Linked DNA regions of Oreochromis niloticus. The protein of the gene in region 2 binds, or shares a complex with, the protein of the main gene of each other region. Links are inferred from orthologs where the notes say so. Each region holds a gene or a part of one and is shown on either strand. Other genes may lie near its edges.

Region 1 (10,409 bases), on a different chromosome or scaffold from region 2:
TTATTCGCTTGCTGAGAAGCTCCCTGAAAAGGTTTTTATTTGATCCAGATGTTATGGTTGGGCAGATGTGGGTTTTTCATCTTGGTCTCTCTCTCTTTCTCTCTCTGCTTTGCCTCCCTATGTCCACTCTCGGTCGGTGCTGTTCTACAGACATCATCTGAGCTTTAAAGACAGAAGGACTCACCCTCATCTCACCTGCCTCCCCACTTTCCACCAACCCACTCACTACTCCTAAGTAGGGATGCACCGATACCGATACTGGTATCGGGTATCGGGGCCGATACTGTAAAATGTGTGCGTACTCGTACTCGTAAAAGTTAACCGATACCATGAACCGATACTAATGTAGCCCGAATTTGGGAGTAGATACTCATAATTCCCATGGACTTGAACGCCACGGTAACATAAGGTGTTCACAGTTATGTGATGTAACTGTACCCTGAATTTAATTTGCCCTGTAATATGTCACAAGGTAAATACAGGTAATTAGAGCAATCAAACTGTTATGTTAATCATAAAGTATTATTTTATGGTATGTAACTCTGAAGGGAGATAAAATATTGTTCAGAGTTCTAATTTTCTGGAGGCCCGTGAAGGTAGCATAAAACGGGACCTGTGTATCTGTTGCAATGGAGGAGGAGAAGAAGGGCAGAAATCTGTGCCATCAGAAACTGAATTTGAATAAGTTAAATTTGAATTTGAATTACTCGGATTGAATCTGAATTGTAACTTGAATGAAAGCTTTTGAAAACTGAATTTGAATTAGTTTAATTTGAAATTGAATTTATGGTTTGAAAATGAATTGATTTGCTTTGAAACTGCATTTTATCCTTTAAAAATTCAGCTCTCGAATAATTTCAGATTCACTTCTCACCATTCAGTTTCAGTTCTACAATTCAATTTCAGTTCCAAAATTCAGTTTTTTGGGACTTACATCCGGTTCCGGTTCAAGCGCAGATTAATAGAACTACAGACTGATAGCGTTACTGATGGAATCTACAGCGTCTTGAGCTGAATTAAGACTTCAGAAGTCATTCGTCATGTCGAATGACCAGCGGATAAACTCTCAGGTTGGTAATAAATGTATTACATGTATAAGAACAAGCGTCATGTTAACAAATGATAGCCGTACAGTAACCTTCATGCTTATTGTAGCTGTTAGCTAAAAACGCTAATTTAGCGTAGTTTGCCCTGATTTCAGCTTTGACAAACAAATATGATCGACTGTTTCTAGTAGAATTCCAAAGTTGTCATCTTGTACCCTGTCAGAGCCCTGTATGCTTGCAGAGACCCCTACAGTAGGGAAACATGCAAAACGCTGTCCAAACCTTTGTATTTGAGCTTTATTTATGTCTTACACAGCATCCCAACTCTTTAGCTAACTTAATAACTTTAGCTAAAGTGAATAGTTAGTCTTATTCATTGGTGCAGCTTTACTGGATCACCTCTGTTTGAAGTAATATAATATGATATACAACTATCACTGAAACAGCAAACTTTGTAAATAAACAACACTTCTCATTCTCTAAACGTTTGGCCACAGCTGTAGATTACACTATCAGTGCTTGTTCACTCTTGACAATAATTACATTTCTAAATTCTCTTTGTGCATTTACAGGTAAACAATATCTAATATTTTATCTAAATGACTGCTTTGTCTTTGAAAAGGTGAAGAGCCTGAGGCCGGTGACACTCCAGTTCTACTCTAAGTACATCCTTACGGTGGCTCACAGGACAAGGCTACATTCCTGTCCTGCCAGAAGAGAAGAGAAACTTCAGAGTCTTCATGAAGTTCAACCAAAACCTGTCATATTCCATATGACAGGGGTCTCAAACTCCATTCCTCGAAGGCCGGTGTCATGCAACTTTTCCATGCCCTCGAGGACTGGAGTTTGAGACCCCTGCTGTATGGTGTTCATGCAGTTTTCTACCCCACAGTTACAGCATGTCTGACTGCCTGTTCAGCATATGCAAAAATATATGATGAGTTTAAGCATGTGATGACTAAGGCCTTCCATTATGGTGTTTGTCATCACATGTCACAGACATCTGGATGATCATTTGGAATAAACAAAAAAACAAAAAACTTGTTACTTCATCTTTTATCTTTATTATTATTATTGTTCTTATTTTACATTTTTCATTGTTAGGCATTGGGTTTATTTGTAGTAGTCCTTTCCAGCTTCTTTCCCTCTTCCATGTTACTGTGTCAGCTTGTCAGCATCTATTTGGGGTTGGGAGTGGAACAGGAAGTAAGGAACAGAAAGTGCCATTTAAACCAGGAGAGGATCTTATATTTCAGAAGAAGGGATTAATTCAAAAGAAATGACCTCAATGCCATATTTTATTTAGGAACCCTAGAGAGCACTTTGCAAAATAACACATTCTTATAATTTCACCCTCAGATGAGCCAAGCTACGACTGTCAGGGAAGGTGATGTAGGTACAGAGCATGTGAGAGTGGTTAAGTTAATGTCTCTTGTCTAGATGAAGGCACAGGAGGGATCAATGGCAAGGCGTAGAGATTCAGTATCTTCAGTCTTCAGTGGACACTCCATTTCTGACACAAAACACCTGTAAAAGATGGTCGATTTAGGAGGTGACCCGACAACTTCAGCCTGTCAAACATAGCAATGGAGCAGTATGTTTAAAAAAAAAAAAAAATCTAATTAAGCACGCACTCAGTACCCTAAGAATTATTATGGTAGTTAAACACAGTGATAGTTGTATATCATATTATATCACTTCAAACAGAGGTGATCCAGTAACGCTGCACTAATGAATTAGACTAACTATTCACTTTAGCTAAAGTTATTAAGTTAGCTAAAGAGTTGGGATGCTGTGTAAGACATAAATAAAGCTCAAATACAAAGGTTTGGACAGCGTTTTGCATGTTTCCCTACTGTAGGGGTCTCTGCAAGCATACAGGGCTCTGACAGGGTACAAGATGACAACTTTGGAATTCTACTAGAAACAGTCGATCATATTTGTTTGTCAAAGCTGAAATCAGGGCAAACTACGCTAAATTAGCGTTTTTAGCTAACAGCTACAATAAGCATGAAGGTTACTGTACGGCTATCATTTGTTAACATGACGCTTGTTCTTATACATGTAATACATTTATTACCAACCTGAGAGTTTATCCGCTGGTCATTCGACATGACGAATGACTTCTGAAGTCTTAATTCAGCTCAAGACGCTGTAGATTCCATCAGTAACGCTATCAGTCTGTAGTTCTATTAATCTGCGCTTGAACCGGAACCGGATGTAAGTCCCAAAAAACTGAATTTTGGAACTGAAATTGAATTGTAGAACTGAAACTGAATGGTGAGAAGTGAATCTGAAATTATTCGAGAGCTGAATTTTTAAAGGATAAAATGCAGTTTCAAAGCAAATCAATTCATTTTCAAACCATAAATTCAATTTCAAATTAAACTAATTCAAATTCAGTTTTCAAAAGCTTTCATTCAAGTTACAATTCAGATTCAATCCGAGTAATTCAAATTCAAATTTAACTTATTCAAATTCAGTTTCTGATGGCACAGATTTCTGCCCATAGAGAACGGCATGGAGAGATGCACGAGGTTAGCTGAACCAAAGTGAGAGACTCGGCTAGTTTTACTGAGGTTAACTAGCACAAAAGAGTGTGTAACTAGAAAGCTAACTGTGTGAGAGCTTCACAACAGAGTGTGGGTGAAGTGACTTTTTGTTTCAACGGTCGCACCACCGTGGAAAACTGTGTTTCCAGCTACGACCGCCGAGGCTAAAGGCTAGCCCGGACTGCTTGGCTGCACCACGGAGGCAGCCGCTATGGACTGTCGGAGAGCTGGACAGTGACGGGCTAACGTGCTGTAGCAGAGACAGCATCGGGTCCGCAGGGAGTGGATTTAGTGTGGGACTGGTGAACGGCGACCTACCGAGCAACGGAACTGTAAGTCAGACTTTTGTGCTCTTACTGGGGAGAAGAGGATTTTTCTCCATCGTCCGGCGTGAGCAGCAAACAGGCCTGCAACAAGTGTGAATGTGAGTGTGTGTGGGGCCCATGTGTGAATATTGTATGTTTAGTGGAGTTATATAACGTGTTTTGGAGTGTATATTAGTGAGTAACTTACCAAAAGGTGATAACATAAGTTGGGTTGTTTAATATAATTTGAAAGGGAATTATTTCATTTATACAGTGTATTTCATTTGGTTAAGGAATTGGAATATCATTTGAGTTTAAAAAAGGGATGTGTTGTACAGTATTTGTCTCTGCCCTTACGTTCAGTAAACGTTTCGTTTGTGTTAAAGAGTTGTCTGGGGTCGTTTCTTTACTACTGGTTAAGTTTAACTTGTGTGTGGTAGAAGTATCGGATTTTGTACTCGGTATCGGCAAGTACTCAGATCCAAGTATCGGTATCGGATCGGTTTGAAAAAATTGGTATCGTTGCATCCCTACTCCTAAGGTATTGTGTCTGTATGCCAGCAGTCCCTCTTAAATCCCTGTTCAAGCGAATTACAAGATTTATCTCTCGCCTCTAATAGCTTACAGAGACTTACCTGCATGCACTCTGTCTCCTTCAGTAGAGACTTCCATAAAGGTTCTAGTATTCTAAGTCACTCGCCTACCCTTTACTATCTGTTCAATAAACAAGTTAAACCCATTAATGGTTGTCAGTGTCTGCTTCTGCAGACCAATTTGCAGTTAAATGTTACATCAGAAGGCTGCAGTGAGAATTCTGACAGGGACTAGAAAGAGAAATCCTATTTTTCTATATTGGCCTCTCTTCACTGGCTCCCTGTTAAATAAAAAATGTAAGTTAAAATTCTTCTCCTCACATGCAAATCTTTTAAAGTAGAATTTGAGGTGGAACTTACAGCTATCAGGTCCCTCTTCTGTCTCCTTGAATTTAATTGTTAGTTATTATTAATCTCTGGCTCTCTTCCACAGCATGTCTTCATCCTGTCTTCCACCCACAGCTGGTTGTGGTTGATGGCCGCCCCTCCCTGAGCCTGGTTCTGCCCGAGGTTTATGCCTGTTAAAAGGGAGTTTTTCCTTCCCACTGTCACCAGATTGTGACATCCGATTGAGAAGTTTTTCTCTGTATTATTGGAGGGTCTATAAAGCACATTGAGGCAACTGTTGTGATTTGATGCTATATAAGTAAAATTGAATTGAACTAATTTGAACTTAATCAGTTCCCAGTTTGGGAGACAGACAGGTTCTTCACTTTTAGAATTAGGATTAAAACTTCCCTTTTGATATAGCCTATAGTAAGGGCTGGATCAGGTGACCATGGACCATCCATTGGTTGGCTGCAATAGGGTTAGGCTCCCAGAAGTCTTCTTCTTTACTTACCTCATCTCGTGTTTTTTCCTCAGGCTCAACCGGTCCCAACATTTGGCTCCCCCTTTACAATTTTGTGCAACAAAACCAGAAAACAGCTCTATTTCAACTACATTAACAAAATGAATCAGAAATTAGTGCATGGCTTTGTATTTGCTCTTAAGTTCATAGAGTAAGTATGCTGATTTAAAGTGTTTTCTATGGAATTACACAAAAATATAAACCGAAAGAAGAGAAATAAAGTTGGAGGGTATATGATGGAAAGCTTTCAAAAGCTACCAAATGGACCTGGTGGTAAGATTATTTTCTTAGTCATTGTTTCCAAGGTCCTCTTAACAAGTTGTGAAAGCCAGTTTTTTATTATTAAAGTCAAAAAATAGAAATCCCAACGTCTGCAGGTTGTGGACTGATTGTGATGATCATGCAAAGCAGTAATAAATTTCAAGCTTTTTGTTGATTAATGGATTACATTTATGTCAGCGGGAATTCATAGTAGAAAAAAAAAACTACTACAAAGTAAAACCTGCTTTAGAGAAACATGGGCCTTCATGTTAATTAAGTCCTAATTGTCAGCAATATTTAAGCCTTTAGCATGTACTGGTTTTGTTTGTTAACCAAGGCAACAACCTGATGAATTAGGAAAAAATAAATGAAAAGACTGTTCAACTGTGAAGCAAAAAGTGAGCCTGATTTGTTCATCCTGCCTCATCACTGCTGGTTCCCGTCAGTGGAACATGAGGCTAAACTAACCTCAGACTGTGTGCGTTCATGAGGGGAAATAACCACATCTTCCAAACCTTGACGCAAAAACCTTTCGCGTCATGATGCCGGAGTGACGTCGGATGAAACATCTGATGACACAGTGACATGAGTGAAGAGATGCCATGAAGGGAGAATGAGTGGGATGTGGTAATGGGTGGGAAGGTGGGGATGGAGATGTGTGTCTGTGTGGGTGGGGTAGGGGGGGGCAGATGCTGTGACATCACTTTGGCTCTTATATACTCAGGGAATGGAGCCCACTGTGCTTCACATCCCAGCAGCAGAAAACTGCTTAAGTGTGTATAGATCTGAAGGAGAAGAAGAACAAGAAAAAAAAACAACAGCTTCACTAAATTTTGTCTTCAGCCTCTTTTTGTCTGTGTCTGGCCCCTAACCTTATGGACTAGATTCCTCCTCAGGTGAATTCTTCAGTGTGGGATCCTTTTTTTGTTCGTTTGGGGTATTTCTTTTCAGATTTTTTTGTTCTGATCAAGATGCAGACACAGTTGGCGTGTATGCTTCTCCTCTGTTTAACATGTGGTGCACTTTGTACAGGTAAGCACTGGTGTTCTTTCAACAGGTTTTCTATGCAGAACTTTATGAATTTATTCACAAAACAGGTGCATCTTACTGAAATGTTGCATGTGCATAAAAGAAGGAAAAAAAATACTGCAAATATTTCTGAAAAACCTTGAATGGCAAAGTTGGTTAAACAGGATGGTTTTGAGTTTGGTCCTTTAGATTAAATACTGAAATAACCTGCAGTTGAAATTATTTATTTTTTAGGAAAAATCAGAGAATGGCATCTGACTTCATGACTCAGCTAACTTTTAAACCTCGGTTTATTAAAAAAAATAAATGTATAAGTGAAAATCTTAATGTTGCTCAAGGATTGCAGCTCTTTTAGGCTACTACAAAACTATTTCCCCCCTCAAAGATCAATTGCCTCTTCCAGTCTTTCAAATCGATGCATAATTTGTGCTTTGTTTAACTGTCAGGGTGCACTGGGACTCAGGCTGATCAATAGTGTCACCTGTTGAAAGCTTAAAAGTGGCCATAGTCACAAGTGAATATGGGCTTTTATGAAAGTTTCACTTCACCTCTTTCAAACAAGGCACAGCAGAGAAAACTATTAATGTAACTATTAATGTAACTTACACTATTGTTAACATTCTTTGTTTGATCCTATGTCAGGGAAATGAAACTTAATTAGTTTCATTTATTTTACATTAAATGCAGTTTACACTGAACTATTTCCAATACTCAAAATCCATGTGAATGGATTGGTACTAGATGATAGTCACTTTTGGATCAATAAGCAAATAAAAGACAACTTTTATGCACACACACACACACACACACACACACACACACATGTATATATACATATTGATATTATGTGTTGCTTTTTGTCACTGTCAGGGTGCACAGGGACTCCATTATCAATAGTGATCAAGATGACCGAGGGCTGGGTTTCTTCGCCACATTACTATTCAAATGTAAATGATGAGAAACTAATTCTTAAATTTAAATAACATTTCATTGAGGACTGAGCTAAACTCCACTCCAAAAATATTGATGCCCCAAATACTGACTTCTTTAAGTAGTTGGATTACATGTCTCGGTATACATTTAGATTAGACCAAGTATTTTTGTTTTAGTTATATTGCTTTATGTTTATGAGGGCAGAAATCTTTTGTTTTGTGTTTTTATTTGTGTGAAATGTGAATGTTGTAAAGCTGTTTTTCTGTAACTGACAGATGTCGACCAGGAGCAGCGAGCGCTAGAAGAGGAACTACTCAGCAGTCTCTTCACTTCCAAGGTATCTGGTCTTTTTACATCTGTGATATCAGAGACTGGAAAGAAAAGCTTCATCCTGCCGGGTCGGTCTCTGACCTCGCCGATAAAGGCTTTCCATGTGTTCTTTCATGAAATCTACATCCGCGCTTCAGTGGCGACCTCAACTTGCGGTTGTGCTTATGCTGAGTGGGAGATAAATAATTTACCACAAGAGGCTTTTTGTGCCACTCAGGCTGCCTGAGCATTTACTTTGTTTTTTAAGTCGATTTGTTCTTTTTAAAAGTGTATCCAGTTCAAATGTGCTCAGAAAAATAAAAAAATAATCACCTTTCCATTTGCTGCAGTCCTTTGAAACGAGGAGAAAATAAGAGCTGAGATTGGGCATTCTAATTCAGTTGTAACTTTGAGCTTTTTATCACATTTATCTGATGTCTGCCTGAGGCTATGCAAAGCTCAGGTATGAAATCAGTGAATGTGGAACCAAAGGCATGCACAGACGGATGGCCGATCCTAATAGGATTCAGATGGACCTGGCAGTATAGTTACGACACATCTTTTACCCTTCCTGCTGATAAAAAACCGCGATGCTCACACGGAGACATGACGGTGACAAATCAGCCATTTGATTCATGGCTGCCGATGCTCAGAGGTTGCTCAGGGGTGATGATTGTAATAATAACTTGCTGCATGACTGACAGACTGCTCAAGAGGCTGGAAAGTGCAGTATGGTGGAAGATAGACCTATTTGTGGCTCTTTATCTACACACTATATATTTGACAATAAAATTGACTGATATACTCCTCACTTCCTTTCATCTGATTAAATACCACGGTTAATGCTCCATTGTGGTTTTTCATTCTCTACTGAATACAACTAAATTACCTTCTTATTTCTCTGCATAGTGAGTCACTGACCTCTGTGTTCAGTATCGTTAGTTGTTCCGATGCTGGAATTTAGATTGAGCTTTTGCTGTAACTGCTTTAGCGTCTCTATAAAATGCAAGTTTGTGAACGCTAAAGAGCCCAGGAGACTAACGTTAAGGTAAAAATTTCCAGTGAAGCACCACAATCTTTTATATGACATTACAGCACAATTGCATGGCCACACTAACTCAGCTAGTTTGTCTTTTGTGCATGGGCAATTTCCAAATGTCAGCTGCTTATGTTTGATCCTGCGAGACTTGTTCATTTGATGCCACTAAAGCTTTTATCCACGTCTCCTGCCTGGCAAACAAAAAGAGTTTTTGTCTTTATATTTGAGGATACTGTATATAAATGATGACCCGAGTGAGCCTCACTGACACTGACATCTTTAACTGCAACATGCACGTGACAGCCAGTACACACAGAAGACTCTGGGGGCTCTTTAATATCTCACTGCACTCTAGAGACATTAGATTATAACTCAGTTGTCTGCACTTAAATGAAGTTACGTGTGGCTGAAAAGTTCACTCTGAGTGCATGTGTCTTTAAAAAATAATCGGTGCTTAGATTACATTGTAAAAGTCTCACATGCAGAATCCTCAGTCCATTTTTAAAGGAACTACCTGAGTGTTTACTGCTGCAAATGCAAAATGTACAACATTAAAACACTGAGTGAGAGTTAGGTGTAGATCACAATATTGACTGTATTCTGTTTGCTATGAAATAAGCTATGAAAGGACAAATATCAAAATGATAAAGTCAACAGTTTGGCTGAATTTTAAAATTATGGCCACAGTTTGTACTTACAGTGTTGTGGACGTGGATTGAGTAATGGATGAAAATGTCGTTTTTCAGTCGGATCATTTCTGTCGATATAAATGTTTCACGAGAGAAAACAATCCCCATTAAACCAAAAAGCTTCTAAACCACCTGAAACGTCAGCCTCTTGAGTGGTCAGCACAGTTTTGACTTCACCCAAGTTCACAAAATACACTAAAACACCAACAAAAATATCGCTCAAAGCAGGAATCTGATTAAGTGATGCACTCTGAGTGTTAAAAACCCAACCATTCAATCCATTTAACTGTCTCATCCTGGTATCTTGTGCCCTCTGTGCAGATGAAACAGAATAAGCAGAGTGCCCCCTATTGGCGCGTGTCTCTGGCCAACCTCTGTAAGATGCTGAGCGCCCTGCGCCAGGAGGCATGGAGTGGCGAGGAGGAGGACGAGGATGGGGGTCTGAGGGAGGGGAGCCTCCAGCTGCTGGATGAGATGTACAACTTGCAGCGCATCTGCCGAGTACTGCAGAGCCGGGAGGAGAGGGTCAGACAATCATCTTTAACTTACTTTATTTTGCTGTGTGGGCTACTTTTCAAATAACAACAAATTGCATAAGCACAAGCAAATATTTACTGGTAAAATCTAAGTATCAGAGGTTCCACTAGCACCTTGCATAAATTATGGATAGCTAAGGAAATTCTCAAAAGTGCTAATCTCCTAGCTAAGCTACTTGTTGAGAAGTAACTGTCAACCAAAAGCCCAGTCAAAACAAATACACAGACTTGTGTACATACACACTTACTCACTCACAGCGCCAGAAC
Region 2 (9,758 bases):
GATAACTAGGTAAGTACAGCTGTAGTAGTGAGGGAAACTGCCAAAAGGTGTTGGGTATATCTTTAGGTTTGAACAAAACCAGGTCTGATGTCCAGTATGTTGATATCATGATGTTATAGTGCAGCCATACAGAGGTGCTGCATGGTTCAGCAGCAGGTTTGTCCTTAATAAATAAGGCTTGAGTTCCTGATGCAGGAAGAAAATTTAGATTAGGTATGGAAATTGAGAACATGTTCTTGTAGAAAATCAGTTCCCAGTAGCCCATTCCTTAGAATTGTTAGTCTGCCTGCTGCTACAATCAGCTGATTTCAGTTCACAGTCAGAGGAGGAAAACAGCCACGCAGTCTAGAGTGTGAATATGGACATTTATATTTATTGCACAAAAAGACAAGCTACATGGCAATCTAGCAAAGAAACAACCACATTATGCTTCTGCATCTCTACAGACAGGATGCTAATACTAAGCTAGCCAAAAACCCAGGGTGAAAGCTGGGTGAATGCCAACCCCAGCAGCTGGACCCTTTACTTCAATAAGTAACAAAGAGATGAGCATTCAGGCTGAAGCCTCCCTTTCTACCTGTTCATGTTTCTAAATCAGAATCTATGTGGCAATCTTTTTTTTGTGCTGGTTTTCATCTTTGCTTTGTGCGGTCAGCTTTGTATTCTACTAAGAGAAAGATCTTAAAGATGTTTGTCCTTACTAGGGATTTGTGTTGGTTTGCGGGGTTGTAGCCTCAGATTTATGTTTGTTGAATGGTGATTATGAGACAGTGTGTTTCAGCTATTTTACAGAGTAACATGAAAGTAATGTAATGAGTAGTATAATAAATTACTTTTTTCTGGGAGTAGTTAATTAAGGTACTGCATTACTTTTAAGAAACATGTTCTGCATAATATGTGTAATAATTACTTTTTTAATAATGACTCCAACACTGATCACAACAAAGAGGGGAAATACCTCAACAAACATGCAGAAACATTTGATCCAATGTAATTTCTTTATTGCTGCTTAGCAATGGCAGTTACTCTCAAAACAGAGCCAGTAAGAACCCAATCACAATCAATAAGAGATCTATAATGGAATCAGAATAGCTAAATTCTTACCAAATCGCCTAATGAAGATGCAGAAATGATCCAGCAGGTTGAGAGTGCCAGGGGTGGTTTATGACACAGGATTAGCAGCAAGATAGTAGTGAGACCTACCATGATGTATGTTTTGGAAACTGACAAAAAGACAAGAGGCACAACTAAAGGTAACAGAGGATAAGACAAAGTTAAAGAGCCAAAGCTGAGAAGGCTGAAGAAGACAGAGAGTGGATATAATGGGCAAAGGATGTTGAATATGGAGCTGCCAGACATAAAGATAAAGAGGGTTGGTTCGTTGGTTGGTTTGACAGAATAAGACGGTATGGATACAGTGAGGTGGAGGCAGATGTTCTGCTGTAGTGACCCCTAAAGGGAGCTCCTGAAAGATCATGTACAAATTTAGGTTTGCTTGCAGCTTTCTGTAGCTTTTGTAAATATATGCTGTATCTATGATGTAGTGATGGGAGATCTGGCTCTTTTCGAAGATTCTGCTCTTTTGGCTTGTTTCCCACTTCAGAGCCTTCTATTTAACCTAATTTCACAATTATGAATTGTTTGTCTTTTGTGAACCAATTTTTGATTCAGTGTTTTCAAAAACACTTAAATTTTATGCAACTGCTTGGTAGAAAATACATGGAATTTAAGGCCTGGAAAAAAAGTTTTAAATCTGTTGTCCTCCACAATGGCAAATGGTTGAAAAAATAAATATAATTTTATCTTTGCAGTTCCAATACCATTGAAATGCAGTCAGATGCTTCTTTTCATGTTTCACTCATTTCATCACTTTTTAGTGAAAGTAAAGTTTTAAAATATTATTTTCCCGACATGCTCTGTTTGAAATAGCTGCCAACCTTCCTTCTTTCACATAATGGTCTGTCTTTGCATGTGATTGGCCATATGGCATGTCAATCAAAATAATATCCCATCCCTACATGCATGAGTTCTCAGTAGGGTAGGCTAAAGATGTGGCTCTCCCTGGCTAGAGTCAGCTCTTGTCATTCGCTAGAAAGAATCGACTCTGAGAACCGGCTCATTCACAAACGACACATCGCTACCATTATGGCACCTTCACTTTCATTTTCTCTAAGGTTCTATTTTCTTTTTCATTCCTTTCTGCCTGTGAACTGAGAGTAGGGATGACATGGAAGACTGTCTGATTTTAAAACGTTTCCCTGCAATACTCTCTAGCAGAACATATTAGCATCATTTTTTTAACTGTACCTGTGGATAAAATATACATATGTCTGACAAAAAATTGGGGTGGCTTTCACACCAGTTTTATTGTGCCCAAATTTTACTGAGAGAGAGCAACATAAGATACTTACAATATAAGTCACAGGAGCTCTGCTAAAAGGGTTAACAGTGGACAGTCAGAGACATGACATTTCTTTTAAAGCTTATATTTTAGATCTTATATTTTAATTATAAAGACTTTCTAAACATTTTATGCTATACCTAAAAGCAGGTAGTGCTTATAAATGACTTTTTAAATTCCCCACATTTTTAATAACAACTAATTCAGTCATGAAGGTTGAATAAGTGCTTAAATTGTCTTTTCATTATTAAAACTAAGAAGCTTCTCCTTACAATTTAATGTGGACACACTGGTTTTCCTTAAAAACAAACCTAGGGTAAGTGACTGCCTGGAAATTGTACATGATTCAGATCTGTTTAAGTTAACTCTGTTACTAAACATTTTAAAAAGGAGTTAGCACTATTAGTATTTTTGCCTGTTATAACTATTGGATTGTTATCTTATATCACACCAGAAAAATGTTTTTTACAAAAATAGGAGAAGAACAAAAATATATTTAATATTTAACAGTTAATAACAATTAATATTGTTCTTTAACTGGGTGAATTGGAAAAAAAAACCACATACAGAAATGTGAAAAAGTCTTGAACCACCCCTCATGTCTATATTTTGCTCTCCTCCATGGTGTAAATGGTAAATGGCCTGTATTTATATAGCGCTTTCTAGTCCCTAAGGACCCCAAAGCACTTTACATATCCAGACATCCACCCATTCACACACACAGGTGATGGCAAGCTACATAGTAGCCACAGCCACCCTGGGGCACACTGACAGAGGCGAGGCTGCCAAACACTGGCGCCACCGGGCCCTCTGACCACCACCAGTAGGCAACGGGTGAAGTGTCTTGCCCAAGGACACAACGACCGAGACTGTCCAAGCCGGGGCTCGAACCGGCAACCTTCCGATTACAAGGCGAACTCCCAACTCTTGAGCCACGATCGCCCCGTGTAAATTACCCTTTATACATGTAGTTTTTCTTGTACACTTTAAATTGCATCATTAGGCACCTTAGCATCAGCAAGGTGGTTCCCAAAGAGCTAATACCTGAAAATTTGCCATACCTCAGCATGCTGTGCAGTATGTCCATATAAATTTGAGGAAACTGGACAAGTGGCGGTAAAAGGAGAAGCGTTGAACAGTATCTGAAAGTTGTGTTATTAAGCAGTATGAAATAAGCCGCAAAAGACCTGACACAGCACTAGAGACAACCCTAGCCCTTCATTTGATCCACCTACTGTTTGCTGAAGCCTTATCAAAAATGGTCTCAGTAAAACATGGCTGTTAAGAAGCCATTGTCAAGGAAGAGAAACAGGAAGAAAAGGCCAAAGTATGCCAAATTACACAACCACTGGACTGAAGTCAGTAGCAACATGTCTTATGAAGTTATTAATCCAAATTTGAAATTTTTTGTTCAAATTATCATTAAGGATGAGGTGAGGAGAACGGTATCACAGTGCGTTTCTATAGCATAAACACAAGCCTAGAGAGAATGCAGAAAAGTAACATCAGATTTTGATCGACTATGCAATTTAATCTGGAAAGCATCTGATTGGCAACAGTTTCAATTGTCAGTACAATGGTACTGAAACAAATTGTCAATGCAGGAAAAGCAGGTCTGGATACAAAAGCATACATCAATCAAGAGCTGGTCTCCCAGATCCTAGACCAACATAACATTATTGAAGCAGTGTGGGATCATCCTGAGAGGATGGCAGAACAAAAGGCAGACAACATTTCCATGAGCCTGAAGAACTATTCCTGAAGCCTCCTTAAAAAAAAATTACAGGAAAGCTGCCTAAGAGAGTGTTGAAGCATAAAGGTGATCATACAAAATGTTGACTTTCAAGCCTGTTGCAACTGTAAAAATATATAATTGTTTTCCTATCAAAATATACAGAAATCATAAGTGGCTCAGACTTTTGCACCATGCTGAATGTTGCATGTTGGGATTTTTCCTCTCCCTTTTTTTAGACAAATGACTATCAAATTATCTTTTTAGAGAAATATTATTTTATGAATCCCACAAATCTTAACTATATAACTAAAACAATAGCCACTGTTAAATAATCCACTGGTTTTATTTCTATTCTATACATTTGTATTGATTTTTAGGGGACTTTTGCCCCAGGGCAGCAATCAGAAAGAGATGTTCTGTTTTATCAGAGTTTGGAGGGTGTCATGGACAGGTTGTTGATGCTCGGCAGAGTCCCACAACAGAAATGATCTTGCAACACATAAACAATGCTTTAAAGCCTTATATAATGTATGAGCAACATATGAATGATAGTGAGCACCCAGGCGTGAGGAAAAACTGAAATGATATGCATATATTAAAATCTTTAGATGTACAACTGTGTGATAAACAATGTGGGAAAAATGTCAAAAAGAGGTGAGCCTGGTTTGCTACACTGCATTCAGTGCCAACTGCTGTGAAATAACCATTAGAATAATTTTCTCCTTCTTGTCCAAAGGAGTTCACACTAGGAGTAGATCATGAGCATAATCATTATCTGGGGCCCAGAGTAAAGTCTGGTACCCTGTTGTGGAGTCTCCAGCTTACACATAACATCATCTCTTTCTGTAAGGCTGACTGAGAGAAGAAAGAGGACAAAAGCTTTTTGGAGAGAAAGTTAAAGGTTTTTTAAAAAAAAAAACAGAGAAAAACAGCAAAGAAAAAAACTTATATTAGAAACCATACTTGAAATTAAATTCCTTTAATTCTTGATCCGTTGTTGCATCGCACTGTTTGTTTCCAAGGTGAACCATAAACGGACAAGATGGAACAAACGGACAAAGTGAATGGTCGTGCGTCATCGCAGCAGCACCAATAAGCGAGCACGCCTCCTGTCGTGCCAAATTATAAAGGGTGGTCTCCTCTGACTTAAACCAGAGCGAGTCCGTTTTACTTCAAGTGTTAACGCGTCGGCACATATCCGCTCGGCTTGCTCCGTTGTACCTTTTCGTTTCATACCTTCATGAAAAAAAGCAGAATGGATTTAAACTTCACGCTCTCGGGGAGCGACTTGATCGGCTTTGGCTCGTTGGCGCAGAAACTTTTTGAGAATAACTCACTGCCTCCATTTGATAACAGCACCGTCGGTCCCAAAAGTAATGAGGAGGACCTGGAAGTTAATACGAATGTGTACGCAAAGGTCATAGTCACTATCATTTACTTGGCTCTGTTCGCCATAGGCTCCCTGGGCAACTCCATCACCATTTATACCCTGATTACCAGAAAGACGCTGCAGAACCTCCAGAGCACCGTACACTATCACCTGGCCAGTCTCGCCGTGTCCGACCTGCTCATCCTGATCCTCTCCATGCCCATTGAGCTCTACAACTTTATCTGGTTCCATTACCCATGGGTGTTTGGGGATGCCGTGTGCAGGGGTTACTACTTCCTCCGGGACAGTTGCTCTTATGCCACCGCGCTTAACATCGCCAGCCTGAGCGTGGAGCGCTACATGGCCATCTGCCACCCGTTCAAAGCCAAGAGCATCATGTCCCGCAGCCGCACCAAGAAACTCATCAGCGCCATGTGGCTCGCTTCCTTCGCCCTCGCGACGCCGATGCCCTTCATCATGGGCCAAGGGATGCGTAACGGCGAGAAGATATGCACCACTGTGGTGTCTCCGGTCACGGTGAAGACCGTGCTGCAGGTGGGTGTCGTGGAAAGCTTTTATTATCGCAAACGCGCGTCTCCCCACTGTGGTTTCTTTAGGCATCGAGAGAGAGTAAAAATCTACAGTATGAGTAGTACTTGAGCCACAAGTGGTAGGTGAGATGGCTGAGATGGTGAGATCGTTCTAAACATCTAGGAGTGTGTGCTGTAGTTTTACGCGCAACTTCGCCTTTACCATTATCGTCTGTGCGCACCGATACATGTTGTTGTTGTTTCGTCGAGAAAAAAAAAAACTACATGGTGGCCTGCTCATGAAAACATTTTAGTTATTAAACCGTGTAGGGTCAACGAAGTCTGTCAAAAACAGTGTTTTCCTGCTGCAAGCAAATGATCTGCAAATCAGCAAATATAGCTTTTAGTCGGAAAAAAGCAAATATTGCTTTTAGTCGAATTATTTAAACTATCGTGTCTTCAGTTATATTTATAAATTATATATATATATCTGTTGAAAATAAACATTTGGTGAGCAAATTGTGTTGTGTTGGCTTACTTTCTTCTTTGTTTTTAAGCTGGTAGAGTTCGAATGATTAGAGATTCATTCATAAACACACTAAAAAGTTAGATTATAGCTATATTTTTTTCATACAGAGCACCAGAGATCTGACCATTATAGCTCCTCAGATGTGAGAATGTGTTGCTTTTGGTCTCTTTGAAAGGTTAGGAAAGTAAAATCCAATGCTTGCGCTATTTTACACATGAAACCTAAATGGGAGAGTTGGTTGAACTCATGTCAAAGTAATGTTAAATACAGAAGTGTCAAAAATATAATATAAATTTATGCAAGCTGTGAAAATGATCAGGTTCCAAAGATATTCTATTTCTTGAAATGCTTCTTGTAAAAGATAATATCAGACCATGACATTGTCTTTTGTGTGGCAAACTGAATATTTTGAGGGTGGAAGCACCCACAGAACTGCTGTAGGTTTGATGCTTTCATGTAGGGAACTAGCCGTCTTACATTATGCACTCCGTGATGGTGACAAGAAAAGAAAGAATGTGTCACTTTACCTTCATTCGTACAGTCCATGTTATACGATATGATATAAAAGCACAGGAGGACACTAAAGGAGTATTCTTTTTGAAATTCATCTCATCATCACAGCAGACTAAATATCTTAACACCAGGAAGTATAGGTACTGCCAAGGAATAAGAAAAAAAACAGCCACTTTCTAAATTGCCAGAGAACTATAAAATAGAGCAAAATGACAGCATAAAACAGCATAAAGCACAGTCCTATACACAACCCCCTGAACAGACCAGTTACAAATATAATTCAAAAAGGGTGTTGGTGTTTGTTTTTCTTTCTTTAAGGAAGAACAGCAGTTGAAATTATAAGTTACAACATGCTGAACCTTGATGTGAACAAGTGGTCTGCTCGACAAAAAGGATGACCCTGTATTACAGTTTTATGCCACAATAAAAACAAGTATTATTACGACTATCTTCTTCTGGGAAACGACGTGGTCGGTTCTGTCTTCTCCCCCGCGGATCTTCTCCTCCACTCCGTCCACGTCTGACCTCATCTACCATCTGCTCCTTTTCTGGAAAAAGATAGAGAAAGAAAAACACCTCCCTAACCTAACCTTGCTGCATTAATATTATCTAACAATTCTCAGCCTATTGGTTCTACTTATTATTTAAGTACGGGGCATTCTGTTCGGACTCCCTTGGCCCAGAAAAATACCAGCCAGACTCTAACTCTACATATGATGTGTAAGCATGTTTGCAAGTCCCTCTGCAGCTCTATATGTCAGTCTCAATAATTCAATTCAATCATAGCGCTGAATTGATGCTTTTGACCCTTATTACATGTGAAATGTCACAATGTCAAATTTCACATGCTTAATGTGAAACTTATCAATGATGGCCAGCCGTCTGGCCTCAAACCATGACATTACCACCACTATGTGGCATTTAACCCATGCAGCCCTCAATCAAATGCGTGCCCATTAAATTGTCTCTCATCCACCAAAAATTTGAGAATCACAGCTTTAAACTCTGTGAAATTAGTTGAAATGGACAGGGACACAAATTAGAGCTAAATATCATGGTCTTCTGTTTTCTCGAGCAACTGTCTGAAATGCCAGAGAAGAGAAAATGCCTGAAGTGCCTCAGTCCCTGGACTATGTGCATTGTAGGCTGATCTGTGTCTGACGGCAGATACCCTAGGAATAATCTACAAGTGCCTTATGGCAGTTTGCCTTTGAGCTCTGGATGTGTAGGTGACTGATAGAAGTCAAGACACTGAGTTTTTACTGAGAGTGCGGCACCCACATCTAATGAAAAGATATTTCTCAAAACTGTCTCCAGGCCTTCCCACAGAGCAACAAGCTTAGAGGCTGTGTAATTGATTAGGCCAGTCTCCCTTCGCTTGACAGGCGACATACTTCACATTGACTGAAAACTTGTTGAGGTTGTGGAGAAAAGCGATTTTGGTTCCAGTGTAATCGTTAATGATCATCATGATTAGTGCCCCCTGCTTCTCTGCATCATACTGAATCTATTTTTCCATATCTGTTTTTCTGCTCTTTTGATGTCCTTCAATGTCTCATTTTTTTTTTTCTGTTTTCATCACTCCTGCATGACTAACTAAAGCTGTGCCAAGGATAGCAATTGTTATCTTGCATTGCTTTCATTCAGGCCATAAGTGAGCCAGGCTGCATTAAAAAGTCCACATTTTCCACACGGTTCTCTGTAGACAACGTGTTGCTGTAGAAATATAAGTTGGGGTGTTGGGGTCTGGCAGCAGATGGTATCACACAATCGAATTGCTACAATAACATTTTGAGTGTTTGTGTACATATTCTCTATTGTCCATCTATGATAGATTTGATGTAAGCAGTTTAGGAGGCACCCTGTTGCAGTAGACGGTCACCATACGCTCGGTCTGTTTGGACAACAGTGAAATACTCTGAGGGGAAAAAAGTGTGTGTGTGTGTGTGTGTGTGTGTGTGTGTGTGTGTGTAAATGGCAAATATAAATAATGCAGGACTCCTGGATGTGTTTCTTAAAACTGTCAAACGAAATCTCTCAAGGGTTTCAAAAATGTTAAATATTTTCTATACTTCTACTAATATTTAACTAAGATGTTACTCCTAGTTGGTATTGTTCTCTCACTAGAGCTAACAACAGCTTTAATTTAAGGTAACACTTGAAAATGTGTCGGATATGGTGTTGTTCCTACAACATCATAATTAATGCCATTTCAACTGACCAATCAAGTTGGATCAGGACTGGGAAAATGATTTTCCTTCACAGCTTTCCCACATGGCTTACACTGTTAAAGGATCAATTTCAACAAAGCATTAAAAACATATCATTTAGTAAATGCTGGTATGTTCTAGACACACCGGGTTAGGGATGGGTATTAATAAGATTTTTATGATTCCGATTCCATTTTCGATTCTGTTTAACGATTCGATGCTTTATCGATTCTGTTATCGATTCTTTTTTTAAAAAAAGGAGAACACTAAGGTCGATTAGCTTAGAACTTTGTTTGATATCTTCTCTTTGAACAAGATAGAAATTTAGGAGTAACATGGCCTTACAAACCCAACAGTGAGCTCTTAAGAGATCCTTAAGAGATCCACAGCCTACGGCTCTTCAATGGGGTGTCACAGGGTCCCCGGGGAAAAAAATTGTAAATGTAAAATAATAAAATAAATATTCTTCTG

The links. Proteins that work in one complex are often made in the same cells at the same time.
Region 1: the proteins of ntsr1 (region 2) and nts are in contact, whole or in part, in a crystal structure (PDB 4BUO), measured with the Rattus norvegicus proteins. The link is inferred for Oreochromis niloticus from reciprocal best matches to the Homo sapiens genes NTSR1 and NTS. Residues at the interface, in NP_001102437.1 of Rattus norvegicus: Ser53, Asp54, Leu55, Asp56, Asn58, Phe128, His132, His133, Tyr146, Met208, Val224, Cys225, Thr226, Pro227, Ile238, Arg327, Arg328, Phe331, Cys332, Tyr333, Ile334, Ser335, Asp336, Trp339, Phe344, Tyr347, His348, Tyr351; in NP_001095851.1 of Rattus norvegicus: Arg157, Arg158, Pro159, Tyr160, Ile161, Leu162.

What each region holds. Positions count from the first base shown.
Region 1 is NC_031972.2:42,109,402-42,119,810, reverse strand, and holds the start of nts (neurotensin/neuromedin N), read left to right. Parts: upstream 1-6,345; 5' UTR 6,346-6,578; coding exon 6,579-6,639; intron 6,640-7,844; coding exon 7,845-7,906; intron 7,907-9,927; coding exon 9,928-10,131; intron 10,132-10,409. UniProt on the Homo sapiens protein: Neurotensin may play an endocrine or paracrine role in the regulation of fat metabolism. It causes contraction of smooth muscle.
Region 2 is NC_031984.2:32,288,564-32,298,321, reverse strand, and holds the start of ntsr1 (neurotensin receptor type 1), read left to right. Parts: upstream 1-5,302; 5' UTR 5,303-5,376; coding exon 5,377-6,060; intron 6,061-9,758. UniProt on the Homo sapiens protein: G-protein coupled receptor for the tridecapeptide neurotensin (NTS). Signaling is effected via G proteins that activate a phosphatidylinositol-calcium second messenger system.